Linked DNA regions of Sus scrofa. The protein of the gene in region 2 purifies or fractionates together with the protein of the main gene of each other region. This does not show direct contact. Links are inferred from orthologs where the notes say so. Each region holds a gene or a part of one and is shown on either strand. Other genes may lie near its edges. The genes, in order: ARF1 and PLD1.

What was found.
Region 1: the proteins of PLD1 (region 2) and ARF1 purify together in Homo sapiens (affinity purification with western blotting; 3 studies listed by BioGRID, with this or other methods). This does not show direct contact. The link is inferred for Sus scrofa from reciprocal best matches to the Homo sapiens genes PLD1 and ARF1.

What each region holds. Positions count from the first base shown.
Region 1 is NC_010444.4:51,233,984-51,237,193, reverse strand, and holds ARF1 (ADP-ribosylation factor 1), read right to left. Parts: upstream 1,640-3,210; 5' UTR 1,639-1,639; coding exon of another isoform or gene 1,602-1,638; coding exon 1,454-1,601; coding exon of another isoform or gene 1,376-1,453; coding exon 1,265-1,375; intron 1,161-1,264; coding exon 1,036-1,160; intron 879-1,035; coding exon 717-878; 3' UTR 683-716; downstream 1-682. UniProt on the Homo sapiens protein: Small GTPase involved in protein trafficking between different compartments. Modulates vesicle budding and uncoating within the Golgi complex. In its GTP-bound form, triggers the recruitment of coatomer proteins to the Golgi membrane.
Region 2 is NC_010455.5:110,373,298-110,377,715, reverse strand, and holds the start of PLD1 (phospholipase D1), read left to right. Parts: upstream 1-1,396; 5' UTR 1,397-1,640; intron 1,641-4,418. UniProt on the Homo sapiens protein: Function as phospholipase selective for phosphatidylcholine. Implicated as a critical step in numerous cellular pathways, including signal transduction, membrane trafficking, and the regulation of mitosis.

The DNA.
Region 1 (3,210 bases), on a different chromosome or scaffold from region 2:
CTCCAAGGGGTCTGGGAGCAGTGGCTGCAGCTCCAGTCCATCTCCTGGGCGGCCATGTGAGCACAAATACAAGCAAAAACGCAATGGGGTGTGGGATGACCCAAGACAGAGCCAATCAGAGGGATCCTATTGTGACCATGCAGAATGGATCATGGCTGGTTCTGCTCCATTTCATTTCATGTTCCCAATGGGAAACAGACCACCAGTGGACTGGACTCAGGTGATTACTGCAGAACCTACACTAGGCACATTTCTCCCTTCTGTGTGTTCAAGTGTTCTCCTTATCTTGTATTTGTAACTATTTTTAAAAAATGCACTGAGTTTGGGTTAAAAACCAACCACCAAAATGGATCTCAACACAGATCTAAAGCCCAGAGGAGGAGGATTGGGCCTGTCTGACACGTGACTTCTAGAGGACCCGTGTGCCTAAAATCCTTTCTCAGTACTAAACAGTGGGTTGATTTTCTTTTTACAATAAAAAAAGCTGAGTAATATTGCATAGGAGTACCAGAAACTGCCTCATTGGAAACAAAAACTATTTACATTAAATAAAAACCCAGTTGCAGGCTGCGTCTGCACATTTACAGCATGGTGAAGCACACTGTGACTGACCATGGAGACAGCTTCTGGCACTCACACCACAGGGGCACGTTTGCCACATGAGAGTAAAGCAAGGGTAGAAGAGGGAGTGAGAGGGGAGGAGAGAGGTGTACAGCTCACTTCTGGTTCCGGAGCTGATTGGACAGCCAGTCCAGTCCCTCATAGAGCCCATCACCACTGGTGGCACAGGTGGCCTGAATGTACCAGTTCCTGTGGCGCAGAGAGTGTAGGCCCAGCTTGTCGGTGATCTCGGCTGCATTCATGGCATTGGGAAGGTCCTGGTGGGAGAGGCAGCACAATAGGCATGGGTCAAGGAAACTGCATGGAACCCTTTCCACCCGTCCTGTTACTCCCTCATCAGACCCTCAGACCTGAGAGGCCAACCACCTGACATGTGCCCACCACCCAGCAACAGGGTAGCTCAGTCATGCATACCTGTTTGTTAGCAAACACAAGCAGAACAGCGTCCCTGAGCTCGTCTTCTGCCAGCATCCTCATGAGCTCCTCTCGGGCCTCATTCACACGCTCTCTGTCATTACTATCTACCACAAAGATGAGACCTGCAAAGGGAGGAGTGAGCATTAGTGTAGGCACCGAGGACATCCCCGACCTCTCCTACAGGCCATGGCCCTCCTTGAGGGGTACAACTGGGTTCCACCCTCACCCTGCGTGTTCTGGAAGTAGTGGCGCCACAGTGGCCGGATCTTGTCCTGGCCGCCCACGTCCCACACGGTGAAGCTGATGTTCTTGTACTCCACGGTTTCCACGTTGAAGCCTGGAGGAGTAAGACCCAAGGTGAGCATCTCCCTAGAGCCACTGCTACCCCTTAGCCTCCGAGGCCCGGCCTCCTCACCTATAGTGGGAATGGTGGTCACGATTTCACCCAGCTTCAGTTTGTACAGGATGGTGGTCTTTCCCGCAGCATCTAGACCCACCATGAGAATGCGCATTTCTTTCTTGCCAAAAAGGCCCTTGAAGAGGTTTGCAAAGATATTCCCCATGCTGTAGACTGGTGGGAGCAACACTGGCCAGAGAAACCTGTCGAAACAAGAAGCCCCTGGGTCTCTTTCTGTGCTGCCCAGGGTCAGCAGAACAGGAGCAGCTTGAGAGACCACCCCTACCCACTCACCCACAGGCAGACAGAGGCTCTGCTATCTCTCCTGGAAACTCAAGGCATAAGCCGATAAATAACCTGGTTTCCAAACAAGACAAACCCGTCCACCTGCTTCTTGAGCCCCCAAATTACCCTTAGAACGGAGAGTATGGGAATCTTAGAATAAGGATGACCGGAATTTGAAACAGCTGCTGCCATTATCTCCGGAAATGATGCCCAAGGTCACAGGGCAACTTACCTTTAAGACCTTCAACCTGCCACTGTGGGAGGTAATGTCCAACATGCATGAAGAGGTGTGGCTTTCAAATGAATGCTAGATTCTCCACCATCTAACAGAGCTCTTCAAGGAGCCAGAAACAACCACTGCCAGGTCCTACCATTCCTCCCAACTGCCCCAAGTCTCAGTGAAACACAGTCCATGTTAAGATGACCAAAGCACAAGGAGCTAGAAGGGCCCATGGCAGAGACCAAAAGCCAACCTTTATTAACATGCTGAGAGCTTAGCACATCCTGCAGGTAGGACCAGGGGGTGAAAACACTTGGGCTCTAGGGTAGCACATGAAGGCATGCAGTCCAAAGGTGAACTCACAGCAACGGTCCTGGAGAGCCTGTCAGGGGAAACTTTGCCGAAAGCTATGGTCAGTGCTATCCTTGAGAGAAGGCCTATTCCGTGTAGCAACATGCTCACACAAGAACATGTTCCTCCCAGGCTTTCCTTACCCAGTAGAGCAGAAACACTGGGATACCATCAAGCTGGCTAGGACACAAGGTCAGAGCCCAGCCAGCCCCAGACACCCAGATCTGCAGGAAGGCACAAGTGACCGTAATTTGTCATTTGTGGGAGAGTGCTGCTCATGGGAAGAGGAGATCTCCCATCCTGAAATGTCCCCAGGGCACCAAGGCTGCCTAGGCCTGGCCCCTCCACATTCAGCACTTTCACTCTTTAACAGTTTTAGTTGCAAACAAGAAGGGAGAAAGTTCAAATGCTGAAAGCTAAGGAATCTGGATTTTTAGCATCTAAGTGAAGCCACACTGTGGTAGCTTTCAACTGTAAAGAACTCTGTGTGAGTGTTGACAGAAAACCAAATGAACCAGAGAACTTGTTCCAAGCAGGTAGGGAGCTACTTGCACGTGGATCACTGAGAGGGTGTTGGTGGATGGAAGCCACTGTCAAGGCTAGGAAGGGGCTTTGCCCTACATTCCTAATCCCCCATCCCTGGAAGTAACCATGAGCTCCCAGTCTTTGGGCTTTGGATGGATGTTGCTGGGGTAACCAGGCATGCACCACTGTACTCCACCTGGGGGGTGTGCCCCAGATCCCCACTGTTCCATGTCACCTCTGATGACAGGCTCAGGTGGAGTTGCCAGATCTCCACTTAAGTTTGCCAAGTCTCCACTGTAAGATACTTTTTGCCTAGTCATCAGTGAGGACTGGGTGACTATGTACATGTCCTGCTCCTCATCCAACTTCCACCCTCTAGTTTCAGCACTCTGAC
Region 2 (4,418 bases):
TTTTCCTATTTTATTCCTCTAGTTCAGGGAAGCAGAAATTCTATTACTGTGAGTGCACTTAAATATTTTATTTCCAATTATAGTTAATAGAAAAACCTATTGCCAAATGTTTTCATGATGACACTTAGAACCTTGGGACGCAATATTATAGCCCACTGCTTCTCAATCAAAAGTGTTATAATTTCTAAATACAAGCTTGTAAGAGTGCATTGCTTGTATGTATAAAACTTATCAAATCATCTGTGACTAATAAAACTTGAGAAAGAAGGGGAGGAAAGGGTATTCAACCTTTCGGTAACATGCTTGTCTTATACTTGCCAAATTCCTCTTAGGCAATACTCTGTTCAGAGAGCCATGTGTTTAATTGTAAAAATCTGTCAGTCTCATAGGATTCAAAAGATATCAATCATTTTTGTCAACAAAGAAAAGAGTGAAGGCTATGTGACTCTTCTTAGGAAAAGATGTGCTCAAGAGGGAAAAAAATGCAGTCCAGGGAGGGCTGAGCAACTATAGGTTACAGGAAAACAAGAGTTCCAGACTATAATTTCATTCCTCCTCCTCTACTTTGGAGTCGAATATTATATTTTTCATTTCACATAGTTCCATGTGCTCAGTAAGATTATGCAACTCGGCCAGTCTCGGCCGTGCAATATCCACTAAATGTTTTATAGAGGCCATCAATATTAGCAGTTTGGGGTATGTGGAGGCCATAGCTTCCTTCGGCTTTGGCAGAATGGCAATGTTGTGTAATGAAGTTGGAGCTGGCCTATATTCAAAGCTATATTTCAAAAGGGCTGCTAGTCAAGCCACATGACAAGTGGTTCTTTTTTTCTTAGGACTTTATTCTAAGTGGCCATCAAAACTGCTGTATTACAACAGTTCCATGGGTGGAATGGGAATTTTCCATGTTTTACTCCTGATTTATTATTTTATACTAAGATTTCTGAATTATACCTTACTCGAGCTTTAAAGACATCAGGACACAAAGTTCAGTTTCCTGAGTTCTTGGTTGGGTGATCTTAGGCTGGTTACTTCACTTTTCTGCCTCAGTGTCCTTGCTTGTAAATTAGTGATACATCTACACCAGGGAGTTGGAAGAAAGCTTATAGATGACTTCGACAAAACTCCAACTCCTTAATTGTGTCACCTCAGGCAAGTTATTTCACTTTTTTTTTTTTTTTTAAATCTTAATCCCTACTTGTAAAATAGACCAATTGTGGTTACCAGCTACAATAGATTATGATTAGATACAAAGTTCCTACAGCAGTGCCTGGGCACTGGGCGGCTCAAGAGGACCCGATAATACAATAAAAATGCTAGCGAATATGCCCTCGGTTGACGCGGCTGGGTTATGAAACTTTGGGAGAAAAGAGAAACAGAAGCGGGGACCAGGAAAGAGGACCAGCTTCCGCGCCCTCCTGACCAGCGGGGCGACCAGCCTGCGCTGCGACTCTCCCGGACCGGCACCACCTCGCCCCACCCCTGCCAGGCCTGCGCGAATCCGGGCGGCGGCACAGCGCGGTCCCCAGTCAGGCCCTCCCTCCTTCCCTCCTCCCGCGCCTCCTGCGGTGCCAGCTGCGTCCGAGCCCCAAGAAACCGCCGCCGCCGTGCCGGTTCCTGCGGCCGCCCTCGCTCCACAGGTAGGAGCCGTGCCGTGGTCCGGGAGCCTGGATTCCCCCGCGCTCGCCCTCCGCCCCTCCTCCCGCCGGCCCCAGGCAGCTGGCTGCTCCCCGCCCAAGTTGGACGGGACCTTGGCAGTGGCGTTGGCGGCCGGCGCCAGCGCCGTGCGGCCTCGCAGGACCGGCTTCCCTAGCAGCCCCACGGGGTCTCCTGTGCAAGCCTTGGTCCCGGGTTCCTGCAGAGCGGACGCTGACAACTTCGGCGCGCACTTTTGTCAGGGCGAGCGGCTGCCTGGAGCGCAGAACCGTTCTGGCTCCAGGCCGAAGTTGGGGCGTGCTCTGCAGGATGCACCCACCCACCTCGCCGCCAGGGACCCCAGTGCCGTGTGTTGGATGCCTCTGTGTTACTTCGCGCGCCCGGGGTTAGCGTGCGCTGTGAAATGACCGGGATGGCGGGTGCGATGGGACTAGCATCCCAGACCAACCAGGAAGTGTTGCATTCCGAGGCTTAAAGCCCAGCCTGCCAGATGCACCGTCCTGGCGTGTGGCCACACAGCTGCTCGCGGGGGCGCCCACGAGATGATGACGCCAGGGTGGGGCTAGGGAAAGGAGGCAAGGAGCTGGGCGTGTGTAAAGAGATTTATTTTTCTCGCCCCATCTCAACGAATTTGTGGCTTAGGTCTGGGATCCAAGAGGGCGGTGCTCCAAGCCTCGGATAGGATTTTGTGACGCCCTTCGGAACTAACCCTTGTGGAATCAGCTCAGTACTACAGACACGCCTGTATTTGTTCCTTTTCCAAGTCTCAGATTATTGTCTTCTTTATTTCCTCTGTAAAGTAGTAAACGCAAGTAGATTTTTAAGGACGACAAGGGTTTCTACGTTTGCTTACCCATAGGTTTCTCCGCAGAATGAGGAATTCGCTAAACTTTACCTGCCGGGCCTGCCAATTAGTTTAGACCACCTTTTGAGTGCTTTCCCAGGGCTTTTGGGAGTCCAGGCACCTAGAGACCTTTGTGTTGGGTTTAATGGCTAGTTAATGGTAGTGCAATGAAAATGTAAGGCATGAAAAGAATCTACAGCTTGAGCTATGAACAGACACCACAATTACACACTGCCTATTTAAGAAAGAATTTCTTTCAGTATTCAATGTTTTATGATAACATATATAAAAGTGAATTGTACACAGGCTTTTAACTTGAATTTGCACTCAGCCTTTAAATGTCGTTTGGGGATCTTTTCCCTAATTGGTTGAGCTCCCAACCTGTCTTCTCAGGATCTGGTATAATTCACAATCCATATTAAAAAAATGTGAGTAGTTAAGGCTTTGAGGAAGATGTGTCTTTACCATGTTTGTCCATGATGTCAGACTATTTGTGGAACATGATGAGAAGTACCTGTAACGTTGGTTGATTGACTTATAACTAAGTAGTGGGGACTCTGTTCTTTGGAAGTTGTCTGATTACTAAATGTGTTTCTTAATTAAAAATTGTTATAAAATTCATTTAACTTTAATTATTACAGAGTTTTTAAAGTTATTTTATTTCATTTTATTTTTATTGTGATAAGATACATATAAAGTAAAAAAAGATACACATAATGTAAACTGCCATTTTAACCATTTTTTTGTATACAGTTCAGTGTCATTAAGTACTTTCACATTATTGTGCTACCATCAAGACTATCCCTCTACAAAACTCTTTTCATCTTTCTTTTGGATTTTAATAACATGTTATTGATAAGGATTGTGATGCAAGCTTTAGGTTTCTCATTAAGCAAGGTTTGAGTTCCTTTTCATAGCTTTAGAGAAATTCATTTTTAAAGAAGAGAAGTGGAAAGCTGTAGCCAGACTCTGTTTAGTAAATCTATTTATTTATTTAATTTTTTAATTACTCAAATGAATTTATCACATCTGTAGTTTATAATGATCATCACAGTCCAAAAAAAAGTAAATCTTTTTTAAAATTAAAGTACAGTTGATTTACAGTGTTTCTTCAATCTATTTAGTAAATTTAATCTCCATCAGGAAAGGATAAGCTTGTGAGCTATTTCCATTTGTAGGTAAAGCTACTGTGAAGTTTAGCCATCAAGTGGGCGAAACAAGTAAGAGAATTATTGTTGATAGTTTCATCTCCTTAGTATCTAAGAGAAAAATGAAATACTTTTGTCTTCTTAGCAGTGAGGTAGCGTGTTTCTAAATTATGCTTGAGCTTAGGTTGTCCACAGCTTTTTAGTAACCAAAAGCAGTTTTGATCAAGCTAGCGGCTACGTTGTAGCAATTTCCTTTCCACTCCAGGTGTTTACTAAAGATGTATGCCAGAGGAGCTAGCACATAAGATATAGCCCTTTAAATTGGCAGTTAGTCTGAGTCATGTAGATGAGGGGAGCTGGAGCTGTGAGAGCTGTGAGAGTTTTATGTTTATAATCCTATAAATTTTAGCACCGTGAAATAAAATGTAGTTTCTGCCACTGGTGTGAATGAATATTGTTGCAGAGTTAAAATGCAACAACTTGTAGGAGTTCCTGCTATGGCTCAGCCCGTTAAAGGATCTGGCCTTGTCTCTGTGGTGGTGAGGGTTGGATCCCTGGGCCCAACCCAGTGCAGTGCGTTAAGGATCAGGGGTTGCCACAGTTGTGGTGTAGGTTGCAGCTGTGCTGGCTGGATCCCTGGCCAGGAATTTTCATATAACATGGGTGCCACACACACACACACACACACACACACACACACACACACACACACGCGCGCGCGCGCACGAAAGAAAGAAAGAAAGAAAGAAAGAAAGAAAGAAGGAAAGAAA